Drosophila melanogaster: one gene and its partners. The protein of the gene in region 1 interacts with the protein of each later gene in a pairwise test. Each region holds a gene or a part of one and is shown in the gene's direction. Other genes may lie near its edges. The genes, in order: spz3, CG16984, Lmx1a and CG34353.

Region 1 (7,760 bases):
AGACCAGCAGCTGGCCAAACCCAAGTGTTACAGTTTAAGTGACTTATTTGCATGTAAGAATGCGAAAAAGGAAAAGTGGCTCAAGACACCGCGTGTGACCCTGAAAAGGGGACCAGGGCAAGAGAATCACCCACAGGCCAAGTATATTACCGCATATCCTACATCAGAAAAATTCCCCACTCGTAACTGATTCATCCATCAAACAGGAGACACCATTAAAGGGCGTTTTTCCCAGAAAAAATCATGTCCAAGATAAGATCATAGCACGTTGAGGCTGTTTTATCCATTAGTTGCATCCGTTTCCGGCTGTCTAGATGCTGGGAGCTCCAATTCGCGAGGTGCTAATATGCAAAGTGGACGCATTGATCCGAGATCTATGACGTTGACACGACCACACCTCCATCGCTTAGATGAAATATACACCGAGTCATTCATTCATAGCATCATCGCCGCCATCCATTTGCTCATCGCCCGATGCACTCGACACATTTCAAATTACCGCCGCATAACCCCGTTGCTTCTGCCCTGTGGCCACTGGCCACTGTTTCACCTGGCTAAGAGAGTGTAATATAACCGCAGAGACATGGTCATGGAGATGGGGAGAACCCTACGGAGGGTCTCCCACCAGCCACTCTCTTTGGATGGCAGTCATGTGTGTAACAAATCGACCCGCGATGCTCTTCACAACCAGTTTTGAAAGCCCACTTTAAATATACTTTTGCTTTTCATTGCCTTCGATGAGAAATAAAACAGCGCAGACGTCGTATTCGGTTTGGTTACTGTGATTAATATGCGTTTCTCGGCAAAAGCCACTAAAATGTATATCAGCCCATGACGACGCATCCAGGCATTGACCTAGGTCACTAATGCCAGCTAAACGGGGTTCTCATTAACATCAACCTAATCCCACTTTGAGGGATGCCGTCGGCACCTGTCGAAGAAGATTCCCCCGGTGAAGGTATAGGAAAGGTATACTCAAAATTGTATTTGGCTCCAATCCAGAATTGGATTGATTTCAGAAGTGCACGTAACTTAATTAGTATGCGATTTCCTTTAATTAAGTCACTTCAAAGGAAATTCAGCGCATAAAGTTAAGCGATTTAAAAATCCAAACCAGCTTTTAACTATGCCAGAAGATAAACCCCTTTTCTTAATTAAAACATTAAGCCAAATATAATAAAACACCTTAATGCTGATATGCGGTAACTGTCAACAACTTTAGGTTCACTTTTAAAACCCCTCAGATGATTAAAGTAAATTATTTAAATTTATTGGGTTAGTCCATCAATCATCAACAAAACATTAATATTATGTGATCTATATTATAACTATTCTGCTAATACATTATAGTAATAGTAATGAAAAAATTCGCTTAAACATATTGCTAATAGTGATTCACTAAAATTTATTAGAAACCATAATTAATAGAGAACTTTTCTGTATAACTTGAAAATATGTCAGTTTTTTAATATTTTTGTTTATTTATCTCCGCCTCTAAGAGCATTTGCTCTTCGATTGGCTCAGTATCGAATATTTTCCGGTTTTGTTTTATTTTTCGATTTGCCATTCAGCAGAAACCGAAAAACGAAAGATAAAAACGCAACTCAGTTCGCCGAGCGTTCGCTCTTAGCCAGATTCCGAGATTGAGGGAGCTGAGCGCAATGTTTCAAGTCGGAGATTTTGAGATTTCGAGAGTTGAAACATTTTCCACCCATTAAGTTTGTTTTTAAGGCGCACGGCGAGAACGGCTCAGTCTCGATTGTCAGCTTGTCGTGAATGGTTTTTTAGCACACACGCGGACCGGGGACCGAAGCAAAAAGTTCGCGCTTAAGTTATTTAATAACAACAACATCGTTTGCACATACCTTAATATCGCCATATATATATATAAACGACATAGCCCGCCGATCGACGCGTATGTGTGTGTGTTAATATTCTGTGTTTGCCAGTGTGTGTTTGCCATTGTTGCCAGGGGTGGGAAGCGGGAGCTGATCTGACTGATTTGTTATTTTTGCATAAATCAATTTCGAGAGCGCGCGCCATCGATTTCCGTGCGCTGATCTGTTCTAAATGATGTCGCATGCGCGTCCGGATCGAGTTTGTCGCTTAAGTCTTTCGTTTGCCAACTGAGAGCGCTAGCATATTTCGCACGCCCATGGCTCTGACCAATTTCTCGCTGCCCTTCGGTGCCCTGGGCCAGCCCTGGGGAGTCACCATAGCTCCCCTGCATCCAATCCACCAGTTGGCCAGCAACACAAATAATCTGCTCTACTCGCCAGCTGACCACCAGCAGCAGACTCCCGCGGAGGCAGCCGCCGATCCGGAGTACTTCAAGAACAATCCCTATGCGCCGCCGCAATCGGGTGGTTATCAATATCAAAATACAGCTGGACGACGCAAGCAGAGTAACGCCTATTTGCCACCGACAGCGCCGAATGCTGTCCGGAATTCCGTTTACCACATCCAGCAGGTACAGCAGACGCAGCAGCAGCAAACGCAACAACAACACCAGCAGCAGGATCAGCATGAGAACAGCGTGTCCTTCCAGAGCAGCAGTTCCAGATCAAGTTCGAGCAGCACCACGGGCCAAAGTTCCATCCAGCTGACACAGACTCATGCGAGTGGCCGGGGACCGGCGGAGGGTTCGTACTCCCGTTATCCCGGACAGCAAGCACAGCCGCCGCAGCAGCAGCAACCGCAACAGAAGCAATATTTCAATGCACACGGCAGTGCCAGTGCCACTTTTACTAAGAACAGCGGCAGCTTTAGTATTACCAGCTTTGGCAGCAGGCAGCAGCAGCAGCAGCCACCGCAGCCGCAACAACCACCGCCATCGCAACAGCAGCAACCACCACCTGCACCACCGCCCCAAAGGTCCAGGCAGGCCAAGCCGGAGGCTCAACCAGCTCAGACATACGGAGTTGCCCCGCCGGAGAATTATCCGGAACGAGCACCAGGATTTACACGGGTTCAGGCTGGTCAGGGATCCAGGACTCAGGTACACGCCGTTCTAGACTACGACGTGGAGGAGGGTGAGGAGGATGAGGAGGAGGACGGAGAGGAGGAAGGACAGTTCTACGAAGGCCAAGAGAATGGTGAGTACCCAACTGGATATTTTACTATAAGGTGAAACAAACTAAGGAATTAGAATTTAAAAGAACGAGGTCAGATTTATAATAAAATAGTATACTATTAAATGATTAATTTATCGAAAGGATTTATATGAATTTGCATAACAGCACAGGAAGCTGAGTTCTAAGCTTAAGGAGTGCATTATTTTTAAAATTCTATATGCCAACTTGTTAACCAAGAAACACTTCCAATTGGAATGCCTAACTACCCCACGAATAAGTGACTCAAGCAGACGTTAATTAAATGTATTTAAGTGCATAATAATGTGACAGTATGATCTATGTAGAACTTTGGTTGAAGAGGCCGAGAATCACTTCCTCATTCATCCAAAAGAAATTCTCCGGACTTTGTCGTATCACTCTTCTGAGTACATTCCAGTTCGAGTGTTTCCTGATTCACGGAGATGGCAATCTTAACAATTAACAATTAAAAACGAACCAAATGTTGGTGGCTTAAATTGTTTGCTTTTAGTCAAGTCATATGTGTAGTGTGAATTTAGAGCATGTATGTAGATTCACAGAGATAAGCGGCATAGAGTCCCACGTTTGCACACGATTCGAAAGACGGGCGCTGAAAGTCATGTTAATTTCTGTGGTTTCGCCTGCTACTTGTTTTTGTGTATCTTTCCAATTGAGAGCAACTTCTGCACAAGATCGCCGAGCAACTATAACAAATAACAAACCTGTGGGGTAAACAGCGCACAAGCAACGAGCGGCGACAAGGTCAAAGGTCTACAAACCGATCGGCAAGGTCACTTTCAAGACAGTAATGGCCAGTGTTTGAATTTTATAGCAACTAACAGGCTGGCACGCATCACGATTTATGTTGTGCCGGGGTGTATCTGTATCTAAGACCGTCTATCTAACGGCTCAAGTATCTACGTATCTTCGTATCTGAATCTGCTGCCCTTGTTGTCCTCTTGGAAAACTGTCAGCGGCGCTTCACTTTTTCGGATGTTTCACTTTCGGTCTAGCTTGTGGCGCCTCTTTGTTTCTGCCTCTCCATCTCCATCTCAATCTGAATCTCAATCTGCGAGTTGTCGAGGCATTAGCCAGCCAGCAACCTGCCAGACTTGAGACCTCAAGTACTCAACTCGGTTACGGGGCTATTATGCAAGAAGTCGCGTTTCAATCTCCCGAAATGAGGGGCAAGGGGCCGAGCTCATGAACCAGCTCTCATATGAAGACGTGCGCACGCAAGACCAAAACTCAGATACTAGTTTGGGTCGCTCGATGTCTTGGCGCGGCACTCAAGTACTCAACACTGGGTTTTCACCTTTGTGCAGGCAGAAAAATATCATAAAAGATGCGATCTGAACCAAAGATCAGTGCACAGAAACAAAGAATCTATTTCACAACCTGCCAAAGAATATATCTCATTAGCTGAAAGTGACATGAGATCTGAACACTGCGAGAAAAAAGTATAGAAATCAAGAAAAACGTCATAACATAATAACTAGGATATTTCTTAAATATTATTTTAAATCTGACAAATTTGTTTGGTAAGACATTTTTCCGGTGAGAGCTATAAATTACCTAAATAATTCAAAAGTCATAGCATAATAATAAGGAAACCACTTGTCTAGAACCCTTCAATTCCATTACATTTAGTTTAAGTAACATTTTGAGGAAATAAGTTTTTGCACTGTATGCTCCCTTTTTTGGATTCTGCAACCCGTTTTGCATCCTGCAGTATGGCTATAAAAGGGAAAGTTTCTGTCTGCGCCCAGATCCGGATCTGGGCATTACAAATGCCAGGCAGACATGAAATTTATACATGCAAGTGTCAACTGCAGTGCGATTTGTATGCAGACACCGAGTGCACTTGCAGTTGCAATGGCAGCTCTTTTTGGGTTTAACCGGGCTGATTAATGCAGTGACAACGGCCACGGATACAGCAATTCCCCCGTCCTTGCCATGAATCACCGCCGAAACAGCAGCCATTTAAAAGCACTCCAATTTCCATTTTCACTTCATTTTCGAATCCATTTACATTCCGTTCACAGATAAGTCGAATAACAATCAGATGCCCACAGTGACGCCCATCCAGGGACCGATTTACTTGAAGAACGGGACGGTTCCAGTGGTGCCGCTCTTCTCCTATCCGAAACTCAACAACGGATCGTTCCTACAGATTCCGGTAAGTACGGATCGATAGGTTCGCCGGCATGAGGTTCTAAGCCCGCGCGCACTTTAATTGACACACTGCGGAAAATATAGATCGCAAATAAAAGTAGGAGTCAAAAATCATTTATGAATTTTAAGTAACAAGCAGGCATCACCTATTCTTCCCATTTCTGTTTATATTGAAAATAATAAAAATTTGATTTGGTCTTCGGTGAGTTCTAGTTTTCCCGATTTCCTACAGTGTACTCTCGATATCGATCGAGTTTGTTCATTTGCGGAAATAACTTTGACGATTTTGTGTTTCATTTCGGTTTTATTTTCCTTTTTTTTTTGTTTTTTTGCGCACGAAGGTCGTGCGAGTTCGTTTCATTAAGAGGTGTGATGATGTTGATGACGACGAAAGAAGAGAGAGATTGATATTGAAAATCTTCGCATGGCGACTCGAGTAGGCTTAATCCCAAAATCCAACTCTAAACTGCACCGCCCGCCACGGCTACACCCTTCATATCTTCTTATTTTCGAATATAAAACGAACTTTTATGTTTATGACTTACTTGAGTCATTTTCACACCCCGGCCATAATTTGTTATGGTCGCCATTCCAATCTGAGGCTCAGTACCCCGCCGAAACTCAATTGCCGTCTTCAATGCTAAATAGTTAATACTTATCGCCCGGACTGACCATCGTATATCTCTGGTTAATTTAGATCTGGTGGACGGCTTTGTCGGTGGCTTTGGGACTGGATGTGCGCGGCGATGTCATCAAGGGAGTGCCGTGCATCAAGCGATATCATCAACTGTTTTGCCCCACGGCCGGCAATAGTTATCCCATGTAAGTAACCATTGTTCTCTATTTTTGGGCTGCGGGAAATCCCGAGTGGAAATGGTATATTGGTATTTCCCTTGGAACAGTCGTATAACTTTAACTCTCTTGATTAAGTCAAGGATGTTTGCATTTCTGTGGGTTTCTTCTACCAGTTTTTTTTCCCAATGAAACTGATCTGAATCACATTTAATCCGGATGACTGTTCTAAAATCACATAGTTAACTGTTCTCATTAGCATAGAAACGTAAAATTACCATGAATTTCATCACTAGGCTTAAAGCAAATCCAAAAAGTGTGACTTTCAACGATATTCATTCCAAAGTTCATTAACATTGGGTCCCAACATTTTGCGCTAAGAAGATATTAATTTCTTTTAATTAATAATATCATTTTCTTAATTAAAGATAAATTTTAATTACTATTTACCGTGGGTTTTGACCTCATTTCATCTGCTTTACGGACCCTCTCAAATCAATTAATTTTTCTCAAATGAGTATTTATGATCAATCTTTTTAGTGAATCACCTGATTTGGCAAAGTATTTTGTATTTTAATTTTAAATACGGTCACTTCCTTTGTTATTATAAAAATAAATTCATTAAATACGTCATTTTACGGCGTACACCTGGAAGAAATAAATAACATTAAGTTCTTTTAAATACTTAATCAATTATTTTATACAAAGCTAAACTACCTGCTTATTTTTAGTGACAAGATTGAACGTTTCATAGACGACAACAAGGCCCTGATGCGACGGATGTACGGCGACTTTGAGATGAACATGGAGGGTCCTGGCGGAGGAGGTGGCAGACAACAAGGCAAGGTGCGAAAGCGTCGCTTCATAGACGAGCCGGATATATTCATACCCCCGGGAGCATTTGCTGCCAATGCCGGGGAGACCGTCGAAGCCGGAGATAGTTACTTTGGCCAACTCCGGAAAAAGCGCCAAGCTGCCGCCGGAGGAAGTCGAAATAGAGGCGGATCTGCCGGAGGAAGTGGCAATGGGAACACGAATGCCAATAGGCAACCGGGAAATAAGAATGGTAGTTCGGGCACTGGAAGACTCGATGCCTGCGAGTCGAAGATTGAAATTGTCACACCGTACTGGGCATCGAACTCCGCGGGTAAGATCAGAGCCATCGTAAATACTCAGCATTTCGAGCAGGCGATTCACCAGGAGGTTTGCAGGTTAGTACACTGTTAACTAAATAGTAAACAAAACGAATAATGAAATGATTTTTTTTTTTACTATTTGTAGCAATACCCAAACTCCAAGATGTGAGGGCGAGTGTGGATGCGAGCAGAAATACAAATGGCATAGATTACTCGCCTACGATCCTGATAACGATTGCAAGGGCATTTTTATGGATTGGTTCCTGTTTCCTTCGTGCTGTGTCTGTAGATGTAATCCCTAGATTACCTGACTCTGAGCAATTAATACATAAACAATTGATAAATGTAATTGAGACAAGTAATTGTAGGTAGAATGCCACTGAATGTATTTTAGTTGTTGTTAAGTAGACCTTACGTAAGCCCTAATCGGTAGCTCTAATTATGAACAATTCTACACATAGTTAAGATTTTATCCGAGCCATATGTATATCTCCACTATTCTCTATATCCCCTCCATCAACATGCGATATTACTCAGCCTCCATTTTTATTGTACGGTAATTATA
Region 2 (3,283 bases), on another chromosome or scaffold:
GACTTCATGGAGCAGGCGGACTGCCCGCCGGTTAACCGGAAACTTAAGCCAAAGGTGGCGGGTGGATTGCCAGTTGTAGAGGACAAACCGCCGGAGGAGTTTCCTGCAAAGCCCCCGGTGGGCGTAGATCAGTTAACCAATAAACTGGGTGCAGCCCAACTGCAGCAGCCCATTGGACCGCCCAGTGTGGACAGGAAGTGCAAACCGAATGCCTATAAGGTGAGTGACAAACGTTGTGCACACCCATATTCAATTTACTAATGACTTCTTTTTAGTTGGGCAATTCGGCTACCATGTCGCCGGCAACGCGACGTTCCTCCGGTGCCCCTCTCTCAATGGTGCTGCCGCATGAAACGGATGTACACTCCCCGGCGGCAGCCAACGCCTTCTTTCACGAGACCCGCACCCTGCCTCGCCAACAGCATCGGCATCATCCGAACAGTCCCGGCAGCATGTCGGTACAACATCAGCGCACCGCCTCCGCAGCGGCTGCCATGATGAGCTTGACGGCAGCAGCTGCTCCCAAGCAGCAAGCGGCGGCGCAGACTGAGCACAAGCTGCAGTACTTTGATCTGGATGTGACCAACAAACCGCCATTGCTAAATCGATCCAGCATGAGTGTGGGGAATCTGTACTCACAAGGCGGAAATGGAGCTAGTGGAATGCGATTCGCAGGCGTCGAAGCTGGCGGAGCTCGAGCGCCAGTGCCTAGCAGCGTGGTCTATAGATCCGTGGACTTTGTCAAGACGGAGGCATTTAAGAGGATTCGAGAGGAGCGCGAGAGCAGCGGCAACAAGTGAAACTGCTGGTTCAGCTAAATGAAATCATATCTCCAGTACATCTACTTGTCAACGTGCAATAGCAAAGGAAGGACCATGTTGCTGATCCGAGATTTTCGTAGTGCCTATTGGTGGTCAGCTGAGGAGAGCTGACCCCATCCAAAAACAGTGCAAATTTCGAGTGGCTTTTACATTCGTTAACATCGTCAAATTCATTATTCATTAAACCACATATCTAGCTTGTAAGACGGCACCAGCATTTCTGTGTGCTGTTTTGAATCTGTAATCTGTAACCCGTATCTGAATCTATGTCGTATTCGTATTTAAATCGTGCTTCCAACACTTCCATGTTTATTGTTAAGCTTCGGAATCAAAATGTAACCATGACAAACGATCTTAGTGCTAATTTTACAATGCAAACAATTATTTTATATACGCAAGCGAAATATTTATATACACGAATTTTATATGGTAACAAATTATTTACAATTTAATAATGTAACTCGTGTGCGACACAAGCTGTAGCTTGATTTTGTGCTTTAAAAAATATATATACAATAATACCAATTTTGTGTGTTCTCCTAAAAGATCCAGAACAAATATCGAATTCCGATTGCTAGAAAATATCTGAATATTACAATATCACCAGGAAACGATGTTGCCTTCTGTTTATTCTGGAAATCCTATAGCAACCTTTGTTTCGAGTTAAATCAATCCAAGTCAACGCAGAGGTACTTGGCAACGCAGGAGTCTCCACCAAACAGACTGTTATTATTAAACGAATAGTCAGTAAACTAGCACGCTTTCGAGTTCCCTACCTTCATCCTTACATATTTGTATTACAATGTCCCTGGTTTATATCACCCATCACGATGAGAATATTCTCGAGTGCGAGCAGGACTTTGTGAAGGCCCAAGGACCTAAGGAATCAATTTTTGTCTACAAAAATCGTAGGGATTCGTACTAAAAATCGTTACCTCCCACCTAACTTTAAGCAATTTTGCAGCTGTTGTGGAGAGGGCAGCCAAGTATGCCAAGAGACTTCGCGAACGCTTTAACGAGGAGGACAAGAAGCTATCGATTATCCTCCAGAACGATGGAACCCGCGTCCTGACAGAGGCCAAGAAATCAGCCCACCGCACCATGGGCTGTGCTCACACTCCGATTGACCCACCGTGCGCCTATTTGCGCAAGAGCCAGGGCATCAAATGGCGGCGAGAGAACACCCACAAGTGTCCCAAGATGCCGCCAATGCCCCCACTACCACCACCGGGCAGTGGCGGCAAAAAGCCGGCAATGGTACCTAACTTCATCAAACGCAACAAGATATGTGCCGGACAAACGGTTCCCTGTCCCCCGCCACCTCGTTATGTAGACACTCCCGTGGGAGCTCGTCACGATCTACTCAATTCCGGATTGGTACCGCAGTTTATCTGCCGCAAGGATTTCGGCAAGGTGCCTGTTTACCTCAAGAAAACCAAGAGGATGTTGGCCGACATGAATGCGGTGTGTGCCAAGGAACAGGCACGTTTGCTGGAGCTGTGCCGCGGTATCAAGGGTTTCACCAGGGCATCCGTCCAATCAAGTGGTCCGCCGCCAATGCCGGGTATGCGGGTGATGGAGCAGGCCGAGCGAAATGAGATCCTCGAGGGACTGCGACTGAGCCTGACCGAGATGACCAAGCAGTATCAGTCGATGTCGCTCCTTATCGACAGCATCGCCAAGCGGCAGCGCAAAAGCAAGCTGGAGTCCGATCTTCGCCAGGTGGAGCAGGACATTCTGCTAATCGAGACCACTCCCATTATCTATGTTTCCGAGTACTAACAATGACACACACACCTTTTCTGACCATGTGTGTCGGCATCTGGAAGCCGAGTGAGGTGTCTCCATGGATTCACTTGCTTTGCTCTTAGAGGCGGACACACAAAACACTTCGTAATTAAGATTGAGAATAAATTTAACGTTTATGCATTAAACATTTCCGTGGCAAAGCTTCCATGGCAAACGGGACATGTCAGATGTCTCCCCGACTCGTAGAGTTCTTGCAGATTGTCCAGCTCGAATAGGATTTGGCGGTTGCAGAGGCTGCAGTAGCGTCGCTCCAAGCTGAGGGAGATCTGTACGGATACTGTAGTCTTGTCTTAAAATGAATTCTAGTGAATTCTTACCTCCACAAAGGACACACTGCATCGATGAAGTTGCTTCTGGGGATTAGATATCACAGGTATACCTAGCATCTCGTGCAAGTGCTGAATATGGTTGCCCATTTGTTCAACGAATGTCCTTGCTGTGGATCCTAGGGCATGGTTTTCCGTGAAGTCGTCATTGAGTTTATTTATCAGTCTGTGGGCCTCCTCGAACATACATTTTATCGCCTGCTCCTGGAATGGTGATCTCTTACTTAATGACCCAATAAACTGGAGCCTCAGTCTTATGTGTGTGATATTCAGCATCGCAAGGAGCAGCTGCAGTTCATCCCGGGACTTTTGGATGTGAACTGTCAG
Region 3 (7,946 bases), on another chromosome or scaffold:
AACAGGGCGAAAAAGCAGCAAGCAATGCCGATTCCTTGTACAAGTGCCGCTGCTCGATGCCAACAAGTTTGGTGAAAAGTCTCCCACTTGGCCAACTGGCAACCAACGGCTGCTCCCCCTGCGTCTGCTTCCCCAGGTATCCATGCTAAGCTACGGAGCACATATCCAGCGTAGGCGACTCCTTGGTTCACAACTTCCACGCCGGTCGGCAGCCCGCTGAGCCAAAGCCTAGTCTTAAGCCGAGGCCCAAACATCAAGTTACTGCCAGGCGATGGTGTGGTGGCCCAAAAGGGGGCCAAGAATTCGAGCTTCGACTCCAGAAGTAGCGCCAAACTTTTATGCACAGCACCATGTTTGGTTTGTCTTTCCAGCTTCCGCTTTTCTTCTTGCCGCTCGGGTTTCTCTTTTCCTTCATCCTTTCTCATCCTCGGTGATAGTATCTGTGCTTCAGTGTGTGCGTGTTTGCGGGGGCGGATAGTTGGGTTTCGGCCTCTTTGGGGGCGCCGGAAATGGGGCTGCCTCCCAGTTGTCGGTGGGCTTTTGATGCTCATACAGGGTGACATTGCCACTTCCGCTTTAAATCGCTGGAAATTAGAGGGGTATGAGCATTGAAAACTTAATAAATCTTAAATCTTGCTTAAAAGCAACTTTTATTTAATTTAAAGATATTATCGGAATAAGAATTCTATAAATGTAATTTCATAAAAGAAACTTATTTTTATGAAGTCTTACAACTTTGAAAACTGCTTAAAAAAGATTGATTTTGAAAAGAAATAAATAAACATCTTTTCTCTTTGAGTAACTACAATAAATAATGTCTTGAATCAATTATAAAGAGATTATACTTCAGTTTTACTAAGTTCTTTAATAATACTATAGTCACAGACTTAATCTTCACTTTTACAGTAGACATAATAACATTAATGGAATAAAATGTATGGAAATCATTATCCAGAATTCAAAACTAGTTCATTTAAATTTTAAGAATCCTTTAAGAATTTCAAAAAACTTTTGTTGTGAGACATTAGGTCCTTAAATAACCTGCCCAATGTATTGAGAAGCACCCGTTCCCATCTTGTTTATCGCCAACTTTTTTCACCCGCAAAAAGTAAAATGCAAGTGCAAAAAAGCGTAAAAGAAGACAAGGCCATTGTTTTTTTCTGCCTCTACTGCTGCCACTGCTGTGTTTGTTGCCTTTGTTGTTGCTGGCATTCTGGTCCAGTCGTGCCACTCAAAGAGCCAACAGCAGCAGCAGCAACAACTCAAGGAAATTGTCGCCGTCGAGCGGCAAACTCGCCAAAGTTGCCGCGAGTGCAAGTGCAAGTATGTCTTTGTGCCCCATCAGCAGCAGCAGCAGCGGCAGCAACACCAGCAACAACCAGCAACATGCAGCTGCCGCACGCCCACCGATGGCCGCCCACAAGCCGACTTGGTCTTGCATTAAAGCCAAGACATCTACGAATATGAGAAAACCAAATATAAAAAAAAACAAAAGAAAAGAAAACCCGCACTTCCCCTGCGCACATGCGCCGTGCGGCAAAATGGACGCCGGGGAAATGGCCAGCCAATCGCAGCGAGGCTGAGGTGTGGCCAGCGATTTGCGAGGGACTTGCTCTCTGCCAGAATTTCCCTCGCTGCTAATAATCACTTGAGACATGCGCACTGCCGGGGCAGAGAGGGGGTTGCTGCAACCCTTGCACCGATACAACCCCTGGCATCACGTGCAACACGAAGAGCTGCTGTTGTTGCCGCAGGCCAAGCGGCAGTTGTTGCTCCGCAGCTCCGTTGCTCCGTCGCTCCGTTGCTTTTGTAAACAGGCGCAGGCGCAGTGCGCGGGGGTACGTTTCAGCTGGGATTTTTTTTTTTTTTTGTGAGGGCAAAGTGAAATGCTTTGATTTCGCTGATGGTTCGATCACACGCCAACTGACAGCGAACGCGGCTGGTTGTCCTCGCATTCGGCAGCGCAAGAATAGGCCACCGAAATCATATTCTAAACGAAACTGAACAGAAGCGTAGTTAAAGTTAAAGCAAAAGCAATCGAGCGTCTTGTTTGTGTGTCGCGTGTTCCTTGTGCGGTGTTGCATGTGACATTTTCGTAGACTCGAAACTAAAAAAGTAACAGCGGTGTTTTGTGGCAACTCGTATACGATGCTGGAGTTCTACCCAATGCCCACGAATCTGAATCCAGTCGGTGGCAGTTTGTACTCGCTGCAGCAGAATCATGGCGGCGCGCGATTCCTGGACAATCCAAATCCCGGCAGCATGACTGCCAGCAGCGGCAACTCCCTGCATCTTAGCAATAGCAACAACAATCTGCCAACAAGCATTTCCGGCAACAATAGTCCCACGGCAACGGCTTCATTAACGGGGCAGCATCAGCAGCACCAGCAGCAGCAACATCAGCAGCAGCAGCAACACCCCCACCAGCAACATCAGCAACACCAGCAGCAACACGCTGCCTCGACCACGCCAGTGCCAATTAACAGCTGCCCCACGCCCACAGGACACAGCCCCCTCAGCAGCAGCAGCAGCAACAGCAACCACAACAATAACAACAACAACAACAACGGGGGCAGCAGCAGCAACAACCTCCACTCAGCCTGCAACACATTAACAGCTGCTGCTGTTGCCGCTGCCTCTGCCGCTGCTGTGGCAGCTCCATCGCCAGCAGGCACCTCAGTAGCCACCTCGCAATTAGGCGGAGCAGTTGCTGCGGCGATTGCTGCTGCTGCTGCGGCGGCTGCCGCTGCGACGACACCCACATCGACGGGCCCAGCGGCCACAGGAAGCGGAAATGCAAATGGCAGTGGCAACGGAAACGGAAATGGCAATGGCAATGGAAACGGGAATGGAAATGGGAATGGAGGTGGTGCAGCAACGGCATCGGCAGCAGCGGCATCCAAATTGTCTGCCGATTGCAGCGGACGCACAGGTATGTTCCAAAAGTATTTTGCACCGGCAGTCGAGCAATTTACCGGCTCGTTCCTCTTCTGGGGTTTTCACGCTTTTCGTTTTTGGCATACTTGCGTGTGCCCGGCCTGCGGGTCCGTTTCTGTATCCGCATCAGCATCCGTATCCGTGTCCAGGTTCGGTGCTGCGCTGCGTGAGTTCCAAGCTGGTCGGACGAGGCTCCAGATTGTGTACAACCACCCACACCTGAGTATGCCGGCAGTTTGCGTGCGATGTGCTCGGCTTTTTGGGGCCCAAGGAATGCTTCTCTAGGGGAAAATATATAGATATTCGTTGTTTTTTCTTGCGAATAAAGTTGAAGTGCTTATTTCAAAAGGTGTTTACTCCTGAAACTTTTCTTTAAGCGGAATATTTCAGCATTTATTGATTGCAGTAAAAATTAGCGTATATATTCATAACATTAAAATAATATAAGAGAAAAGTATTCTTCATATTAATTAGCCTAAAATCAAAAGTAAATAATAATTTAAAAAACATTAAATAAGAATGTTCTTATTTGTTACTAGTTTGCTTTTAGTTTGCAGAATGCAAGTAAAGTCAATTTGGTTAGATATATCATAGGTTTTGTTAATTATTATTGTATCAATATTAGCATAAATCCATGTTTAACTTGGAACTTAATTGCAACTCAGCTTTCAAAGAGTTGGATTTACTTTTTAGCAAGTGAAATAGCCAGAGGCAGATTGTCCACTTATGTAAAAACAGGCAAAAGCAAATGCACAATTTCCGGCTAACACGTACATATATATTGACAGAGGACAATAAATTATGAATTTGTAGTTGTGATGGCGCACACATGTTGTGGATAGTTCAGTGGGCGGATGTGCGGCAAGCATGGCGAAAGTATTTCCAAAAGTATGAACGCAAGTTGACCACAAAATAATTTTGACAATGAACCTGTCTGACATCCGCCCGGCACGGCCAAAAAGAGGCGTGGCTCGACCAATAAAAGGCTATTAAAGCATGCCACACACTGCCTCCCTCCCACACACACACACACACACACACTGATGCTTTGGCATGCAGGCACACATACACACACACTCGCATGCATGACAGCCTCAAAATAGGCAACACTTTTCAGCTGAGTTGCAACGAAAGTGTTGCTGGGGAAAACTTTTGCGAATTTCCCTCCGAAATGCAAAGTGTGCAAACAATGTGTGTGATGCATATGCAGACCAGACCTCGTCCGAGGCTAAGTGGATTGTGTTTTCGGTTTTTTAGTGCCCCTCATCCGCCCACTCAATCGCCCACAATAGCTGTGCTCTCTTGCCGGCCAACTTTGCATTTGCCTATGAAATTTCTATTAATGCTCGCATTCTGCCATTTGCTATTTGCCATTTGCCATTGCCCAAATGGCAGCAAATAGTTTCCGTTTCCGCTCGTTCCGTGCCACTACCCCAATCCACACACCACTCCCCGCCTCTCATCCTAAGCTCCATTTTCCTCGGCAAACACTTGGATGCCGGCTGCTAAACTACTATCGGTGGCCCACACTTTGCAGAGGTCGAGGAATTTCGAATGGGCTGCCATTGGGGGTGGTGTGCACTCGGGGGCAGACCACGGAAATGAGCACACTCAGTGTCAGGTATTCCACCGAGCGTATCAGCATACATATTTGGCTTCTGCGGTGGCTCCAGCTTCGTCTTCCTGTCCTACCCACAAACCCCACCCACCCAATCGCCAGTAGGTGTGCATTTGTGTGGCGGAAGTATGCGCCATACGCATAGTTCTGTGTCACTTTCCGTTGAGATCCAGCTACACTGAAACAAAACTGCTATTCAAGAACTATACGGAAAATCCACTGGAACTCACAAAGAGTACTACATTTGAGTTTAGAATGCAAAAGTCAATATATTTTGCAATCCCTATTTGTAATTTGATTAAATCTGTATCTTACATTTTAAAAGAGTAGTTTTTGAAGTTCATCCTATTTTATTCATTATTTTATATTATGATTAATACCATTTCCATGGTGTAGATAGCAACGAAGAGTTTTAAAGACCCTGTTTGTTTGTCAGTCGAAATGAAAGCTGTCGAATTATGAGCTGCCTGTCAACGATGAACTGCTGCCAAAATCCGCGTGGCACGTGGACTGGACTCCAGTTAGTGGCCGAATTAGTGCCAGAAGTTGGGTGCTGTCTGCCGATTTATCTCCATATAACCCCGCCCCGCTGTCAATGTGTCAATAAATGCACCATATAGTGCGACAATCGTGGGGCGTTCGGGCAGATAAGCCCCTTTATCGGCGATAACGACGAGGACACTTTTCTCTATTAGTTCTATGTTTATCGTCGAGTTGATTTTGGATTTATCTGCTGTTTAATCTATGTATTTGACATGAGTGTGCCGCACTTGTTCCGACTGTTTGCGCTTGTTGTTTGTTGATTTTTGGACAAGTTTCGCCCAGGCTTTACCATTCAAGCCCAAAAACACACACTCACTCAATGCAGAGTCCTTTGTTGGCCAAAACAATACAGAGAAATCGGAAAAAAAGCATACATAAAACTGCAGTAAAATGCCATAAATTTCGATTAGATTACACAAACGAAATCCCGTCACAATATCGATGCTCAAAGCTCTACAAAAACATGAGGCCAAACTCAAAACGCAGCTCCCCTCTGGGGTTTATCAAATGAATCATTCTTGATTTTTTGCTCGGCCCATGCAAAAACCTTTATCGCCAATGCGATTGGATATGGATACTGCACAATAGGATGAAATGCAAGCCAAAAAACAGAAAAAAAAGGAAAATAGGAAAATGCCCGAGGACATTGTCAACTTTCCGCTGCACTGGCTTAGCGCCCCCTTACATAGGGATTTTCGTCCCTATTCCCAGACTATATATCACCCATACAGCCACATTCGCGTAGATATGGCGACTGTGTGCGTTTGTGTGTGTGGGGAGGCCATTGTGCCAACCATAAATCATGCACATTTTTCTGCCACTGAGCCACAGCCATATAATATAACACTCCACTTCCATTGCCAGTTTCCCTCCGCACTTTTTCTCCACTTTCCCTCCGCACTTTCCCAACTCGCTGCTCATTTTTCAAATGCTTCCATACATTTTTCGTGGCGGTCGTCATATATTTTTTATGTTTACTGCATGCAGCTTTTGTTGTGTTTTTCGGGTACTACTTTTTATGACTGGTTTACAGTTTCAAGAGCTCCGTCTACGGGAGGATTAGGTTCGTTCTACTTTGGGTAAGGCGAGCTGAAATCCAGTAGCTCCTCAATGGGAGATTAGCATTTTTTAAGGGACTTTGTTTAGGAGTTAAGCTTTGGCTTAAGTTCGGTGGTATATACAATATCAATTGAGCCATTTTCTGGCATGTTTATATACATTGATAATCGAGATGGGGGGCTGTTCAATAATACCGAACAAATACGGAAAACTTTACGTTTCAATTACGCATCAATAAGCTTTCAATACAAGCTGTTGCAGTCCGACGACAGATAATTTTTTCCAGCGAAGAGTTTTCCTTCTGTTTTTCCATCGAAAGTGCGAAACAGCGAACGGAAAAACAAGAGAGACGTTGAAGCATTTTCACACGATTCGATTGTCAGCGCGCTCCTTGCTCCATTGGCAGCACATGTCATGATAATTTCGCAGCGACATGTGCCGCCATCACGTATACGCCACGTACGCCCATCACAGTAGGGCGAATAAGCGGAGTTACACTGGAACAAAATTACTAAAGTATTAGGATTCTTCTTTGAAATATTTCTGTTCTCAAGAAAATGTTTCATATATATTTTCCAAGTATGGGTTAAATATTCGATTAAATTGATTATTAATGTAGATAGATATATTTATTATATTTTAAACCTCAGTGTATTAGTTACTTGAAATGTATTCTGCGACTTACTAACGCGACTTTTTTCCCCCATCTTTGCTTGTTTCATCCCCAGAAGTGGGCCACATCAAGTGCGAGAAGAACTTCGAGCTGTGCGAGGGCTGTGGCCAGAAGATCCATGACCGATTCCTGATGAACGTGGGCGATGCCAACTGGCACGAGCAGTGCCTGGCCTGCTGCTACTGCGGAATGCAGCTGCACCACACCTGCTACGTGCGCAACTCGAAACTCTATTGCAAGATGGACTACGACCGGCTGTTCGGTGTGAAGTGCTCCTCCTGCTGCCATGCGATCCTGCCGCAGGAGCTGGTAATGCGACCCATACCGAACTTTGTCTTCCACCTGCCCTGCTTCGTTTGCTACGCCTGCCGATTGCCGCTCCAGAAGGGCGAGCAGTTCATGCTGCGCGATGGCCAGCTCTTCTGCTATCGTCACGATCTGGAGAAGGAGATGTTTCTGGCAGCCGCTGCTGCTCAGCACTGTGGGTTCGTTGGCCTGGACGAGGAGGATTTGCTGAGGCCACGGGATGGAAGGAGAGGTCCGAAACGACCACGCACCATCCTCACATCGCAGCAGCGCAAACAGTTTAAGGCCTCCTTCGATCAGTCACCCAAACCATGTCGCAAAGTGCGCGAAGCCCTGGCCAAGGACACCGGCCTATCGGTTCGTGTAGTGCAGGTGTGGTTCCAAAATCAGCGCGCCAAGATGAAGAAGATTCAGCGCAAGGCCAAGCAGAATGGTGGCTCCGGCGGAGGATCGGGCAGTGGGCGTGGCACGGGCAATTCCAGCGCCACCGACGATAAGGACACCAATGACAAGGAGGACAAGTGCGTCAAGCAGGAGCTCGGAGGAGATAGCTCCGGTTATTTGGGTGGATTGGACAGCACTTTCGCCAGCCAGCCGCTGAATCCCAATTTGCCCTTCTCACCGGATGGTAAGTGGTTCGATTTGAAGTTTGATTTCGTCCAAGCATTATTCTACAAGTACTAATGGCTTGCTTTTCAACAGACTATCCGGCCAACTCGAATGACAGCTTCTGCAGCTCGGACCTCTCGCTGGATGGGAGCAACTTTGACCAGTTGGATGACGATGCGGACTCGCTGTCGCTGAACAACC
Region 4 (4,994 bases), on another chromosome or scaffold:
AAAAAAAAGGGGTTGATATTTTAAAATCTTGCACCGATGACCTGTCAAAAGCTATGAAAATAAATAAAATAAAATATATCTCTAGTACCTTGTTTAAGGACTAAGGACCTCTTTACAATAGCAAAGCAATCTTATGTTTGATGGCACAAACTATACAATCGTATTTTTGCGTAGTTTCTCTTTTCCCAATTTATACATTCCACTTAAAAAATACGTTTTTATTCTTATTTTGCTAAATCAAATTATAGTGCATATCTGACAATTTTGCTCTCTGCAGCGATTGAGACAACAAACGACAAAGCAGCGATGGCACGATGCGTATTTAGAATGATTTTGCCCGTGGGTTGCATGGGATGTGGTTTGCTTTTTCCACTGGTCCATGTCCCGTGTCCCGTGTCCCGGGACATGTCCAATGTACATCTCGATGGCATTCCGGCGCACTCGTCATTGGGGCGAAAAACAGAGGACTTTGCACGCCATTGAGCTGACGGCACTCCGGCGGAAGAAGGAAAAAAGGACGAAAGGCACACTTGCAAATCATAAAACAACAGACGCGAAGAAAATGTTTTTTAAATCTTCATAAATATTCATTATGGGAGCGGGGCATGGCAAATAGTTTGGGGCTGTCGGCGATGCTGGGAAACTGGGCCTGGACACTGGCCAGTCCTGGCGAGTCCTGGCGAGTCCTGCGACTCCTGGATAAACAAGGAGCTGGTAACCATTGGCACTCTGAAGCCGGCTAGTGGGCGGTAAGCTTCATTTCGCAGATGGCAGTACAAGAAGTTTGCCAGAAAACAAAAACAGAAATGGCCAAAATAACAATAAACTGGCTCGAGGAGCCTAAGTAAGAAAAGAAAATGAATTGGGGGCGCATTTCAAGTGTGTGTCGGCCTTGAAGCGTGAAGATGTGGCCCAAAACCGAGTCGAAGTTCATGTCCATGGCCAAAATGGCCAAAATGGGCAGAATGGCCAATGGAACGAGACGAGCAGCAGAAAAAAAGCAAACAACTATAAATAACACAGAACTCCGATGGACAGAAGGACGCACCACAAAGCTGTCAATTAGCAGAGTTTCTTACTTAATTTTGGAATTTTCAAATATTTGGGGGAAACAAGAAGTCCAAAATAAACATCATGGCGTGGTGAAGTTTTGAGGGTTTTGGAAGATGTTACCAGATGTAACACTACATATTTGTACACTAGGTTGCTGCTCAAAGTAATGAAAAGATAAACATTGTTCGTTTATGCCAATTGGTTTTGTTTATATTATAAAAATATTCTTATATTTTCTTTAAAGAAAACTTTAAAATATTAGAGTTATAAAAATATAGTTAACCAAACAGTTCGAGCTAAGAGAAAATATCCCTTTTTTATCAAGAGAACATTTCCCACTTAAAGTAAAGCTGCAGAAAGCTTTAAGCTTTCGTATCCTTAGATGCGATTTGAAAGCGGTATCTCATTTAAAATTAGGTTAACTAAAATGAACACAGTTAAAGACATTAAAGGATATCATAAATATTAAAATTGCTATGCATGAAAAAAAAACTTATAAAATAAATGCATACACCTGCATTATTATTTTAAACATAAGTAGTTCATTTTGTTAAAAACTGAAATAAAATATCTTACAAATGCTTAAAACTGGAACATAAGTACTACTATTCCTACTATCTCGCCGCGAATGGGTTCCATAAGCCGCCCACTATATTCTCTCTTTAGTTCTGCGGCGAGAAATTTTCTCTTCGCTTGTGGCACACATTCATTGCGATTGCGGCTGTCGAACGGCAGCAAACAAAAAGAGCAACAGCAACAACCACACGCGCCAGAAGAGGCTCTAATACCAATTACATTGTGCGGGTCGTTCGTAAACTCCCCCCTTCCCATCCTGTCGTGCTCGCTCGGCTAACTGTTGAATCAACGAGTGGTTGCCGACGTGCCATTCGTCCGTACTCGTGCGACCTACGACGAACGAATCGTACGGTCTTCAGTCCTATTCGAAACGCGATAGCAAACGGTTGTGTGCTCTCGTCCCACTGCCACCGAAAAAAAGGTGTTTAAATTGAATCTGCACAAGTTTAAGTCGAAAATCGAACTCGCGGTACTTTATAATTAATAGTGAATTGAATTGAAGTCACTGAGGAAACCGCTAGAGAGAAATCAACTCTAAAATACTTTGAAACAGAAGTGTTAGTAAAGTGAAAGTAAACAACTATCATTCTGAAACCAAACCAAACCTTCCGTAAGTTTTCGGGCTTTTTAAACCGGCAAACCAAATCGCGGTTCGGGATTTCGGTTATAAAAACTGCTCCTCTCGCGTCGTCCCTTTACCGTTTTTTGGCACCTACGCGCGCTCTCTCGCTTCGCCAAAAATTTTCCGCTCTCTCGCGAAATACCGTTGGGCCTACACCGCTGGGCAAGATTCTAGCACCATCAAACTGGCGCATACACATTGCCATAAATTGTGATTAACCACAACGCAACCGAAAGCGACAGCAAGACGAAGATTTTTAATTAAATTAAGAGTGAAAAATACCAGCAGCCGCAACAACGGCACCAAACGTAAACAATCAGCGCCGGCAAATTAAATATTTAAATATTTGCACTCGGAAAATTGTGCGGCATTTTAAATTAGGACTCCCAGGCGGTGCAGCATCGCTGGGCATACTAAAGTGACATATCCCGTGCTCCAGTGATCCCCAAACATAAGCAAACGCCATAGACGGTGTGTGTGCCAAGCCAAAACACAGCCATTAATAAAGCGAGGAAAGGCAAATAAACAATCGGGTCAAAGTGCTTAGTCAGGCTAAAAGAGCCAAAAATCCGACAGGAAACAATAATCCGGAAATTTTGGTGCGAGGTAAGTCCCCTTCACCTGTTGAAAGTGGAGTCATCCTTAATACAATTATTCATATGCACATCCGCATACATAGAGCGCTGCATTGACGAGTGGCATTAAGAAAAATAAGGCAATTGCACAATTTAATTGGAGTCATTGTTTTTGTTTCGCCGCTCTGGCTGCATTTTAAATGCCTGTGCTGCAATCATTCAGCTGCATAATTAATATAAAATAAAGCTATACGATTGCCTTTTTTTTTGTTTGCTTGTATTCCTTGTCGCTGCTTTATTGTTTGTATTTTTTAACAATTAATTAAAAATATGTATGATGTGTTTTCGCACTTCAATTGGCTGCGAGAATTCTATTTTATTTCGTTTTGTTTGCCAGTTTATCATTTTTTCCACCCATAAATCGCCGTTTTGCCATAGGCTTTGGCCATGGCCAATTGCAAATTGCAAAAGGTTTGAAACATTGTAAAAATGCAGTTTATATAGAAAACAATTATGCGCCAGTTGCAAAAACACCGAGCGGATCTGATTGAAATGGCATAAATCCAAAAGGAAAACCAAATCTCTCGATGTGACAATCACAGTTCGTTTACTCGCATAATATGCCAGTCGAGCTTAATCGATTGATATCCGTATAAATTATGAATGCTTGCTGATCATTTTGCGGTGGTAGGGCACATTGTTTTTTAAATCTGCTTTGAAATTCAATTGAAAAAAAAATGCATTAAAACTCATCATTGTCAATCCTATTTAAATGGGATTAACTTTGCCTAATACAATTGTCCAAAAGGACAAATTCATAAATAGCTGCAAATAGTTGAATACTACATATAAACATTCTCTATTTTGTATAAAACCTGGTTAGACTTTAGTAGAATTGTAGTTATATTGATTTAAACCTTAAAGTTTTAAAGTCCCTTCCCAATTTCCCGATTTCATTCGAAATGTACTCAATAATTTACGACGTAACACAATATTTTCCAGCAAGAAAGGGCTGAGGCCAAAGAAACAATTTCGATATTTACATACATGAAAAACCGTGGTGAAAATGGGGTTTCAAAATAAACGCATGCATATCGTATATGTATCTTTTCACACGGTGCAATATATAAATGTGTATATGGGCAACTTTAATTTCCGTTTAATACTGCGGGCAGCCGCCGAAGCTTAAAAATGAAAGACATATCAATAAATAAGTGCGTCCAGCCCGCGGAGGAAAATCGAGGAGCCAATATCCCAGAACATTTTCCACAAAAACACACACACGCACTGGAGAACTCACACGCACACACACTGGCATAAATAAGTCAGCGCACATAATGGTTAAATAATTAAAGACACACGAAAGCCACAGCAATCACATGGCATAATAGTTAAAGACATTCATATTTATATTTATTGAGCTGCATTCATCGGTTGGTCGAGTTCGACAGCCATTATTCAGAGCTGCCAGGACTCGCAGGATCCCCAGGATCCAGTATTCTGTATTCGGTATCCATGCCTGACCATTCGCCATTAATTGTATCATGGCCCACAAAATGCAATTTAATTCAAGAGCCAGCTACTCTATTAAGTTCCAATTGTTATTCAAAATTCCAAACGCCAACTAGCGCATACCTCATGTTTATGGGGGCGTGGCAGGTCCTGTTGTGGTAATTGTTTTAAAGCATTCGTACATAAATTTGGCTAATTAAACAGGACCGCACTGGACGCGCACACAAATACATACACACACACACACACACACGGGAATATATTCCATAATAATGGAATAATGTAAATAGTAGCCTCGACCGACCACAAACAACTAGCCAGCATTATGGGCCATCTGGAATGTCCTGGCAGGTTCCGTGCGCGTATGCATATGGTCGGTTGTATTGGCCACGTCGATGGCAATAATAACAAAGCATAATTCATAACAATAAAACGAGGCATACACGCACTGACTGCAATTGGCTTTAATTCAATTGCCCGTGCATCGATTGGTTCTTGCTTATTACCTGATTTCGAGTCCATAGCCCTATGCCATGCATTCGATCTCGTCCTTGTGCCGTTCCATCTTCAATTGCTGGCATATCGAAATTGATAAATGCCGAGCTCGGAACGTTTTAGTTTAGTGCGCCACACTGGAATTCATAATTAATTACCAA

The links.
Region 2: the proteins of spz3 (region 1) and CG16984 interact in a two-hybrid assay, tested with the Drosophila melanogaster proteins (one large-scale study listed by BioGRID).
Region 3: the proteins of spz3 (region 1) and Lmx1a interact in a two-hybrid assay, tested with the Drosophila melanogaster proteins (one large-scale study listed by BioGRID).
Region 4: the proteins of spz3 (region 1) and CG34353 interact in a two-hybrid assay, tested with the Drosophila melanogaster proteins (one large-scale study listed by BioGRID).

What each region holds. Positions count from the first base shown.
Region 1 is NT_033779.5:7,873,542-7,881,301, reverse strand, and holds the start of spz3 (spatzle 3), read left to right. Parts: upstream 1-1,749; 5' UTR 1,750-2,155; coding exon 2,156-3,095; intron 3,096-5,137; coding exon 5,138-5,271; intron 5,272-5,964; coding exon 5,965-6,089; intron 6,090-6,790; coding exon 6,791-7,270; intron 7,271-7,340; coding exon 7,341-7,497; 3' UTR 7,498-7,760. UniProt on the Drosophila melanogaster protein: Neurotrophin which may function as a ligand to the Toll-related receptor Tollo. Involved in a Tollo and JNK signaling pathway that positively regulates neuromuscular junction (NMJ) growth in presynaptic motorneurons.
Region 2 is NT_037436.4:2,594,247-2,597,529, forward strand, and holds CG16984 (uncharacterized protein), read left to right. Parts: upstream 1-1,534; 5' UTR 1,535-1,623; coding exon 1,624-1,729; exon of another isoform or gene 1,730-1,785; coding exon 1,786-2,603; 3' UTR 2,604-2,743; downstream 2,744-3,283. Other genes in the region: dos (daughter of sevenless), read left to right, coding at 1-219, 276-800; CG12182 (uncharacterized protein), read right to left, coding at 2,744-2,896, 2,948-3,283.
Region 3 is NT_037436.4:12,327,322-12,335,267, forward strand, and holds the start of Lmx1a (LIM homeobox transcription factor 1 alpha), read left to right. Parts: upstream 1-1,910; 5' UTR 1,911-2,148; coding exon 2,149-2,932; intron 2,933-6,885; coding exon 6,886-7,764; intron 7,765-7,838; coding exon 7,839-7,946.
Region 4 is NT_033777.3:27,902,834-27,907,827, reverse strand, and holds the start of CG34353 (uncharacterized protein), read left to right. Parts: upstream 1-1,984; 5' UTR 1,985-2,857; intron 2,858-4,994.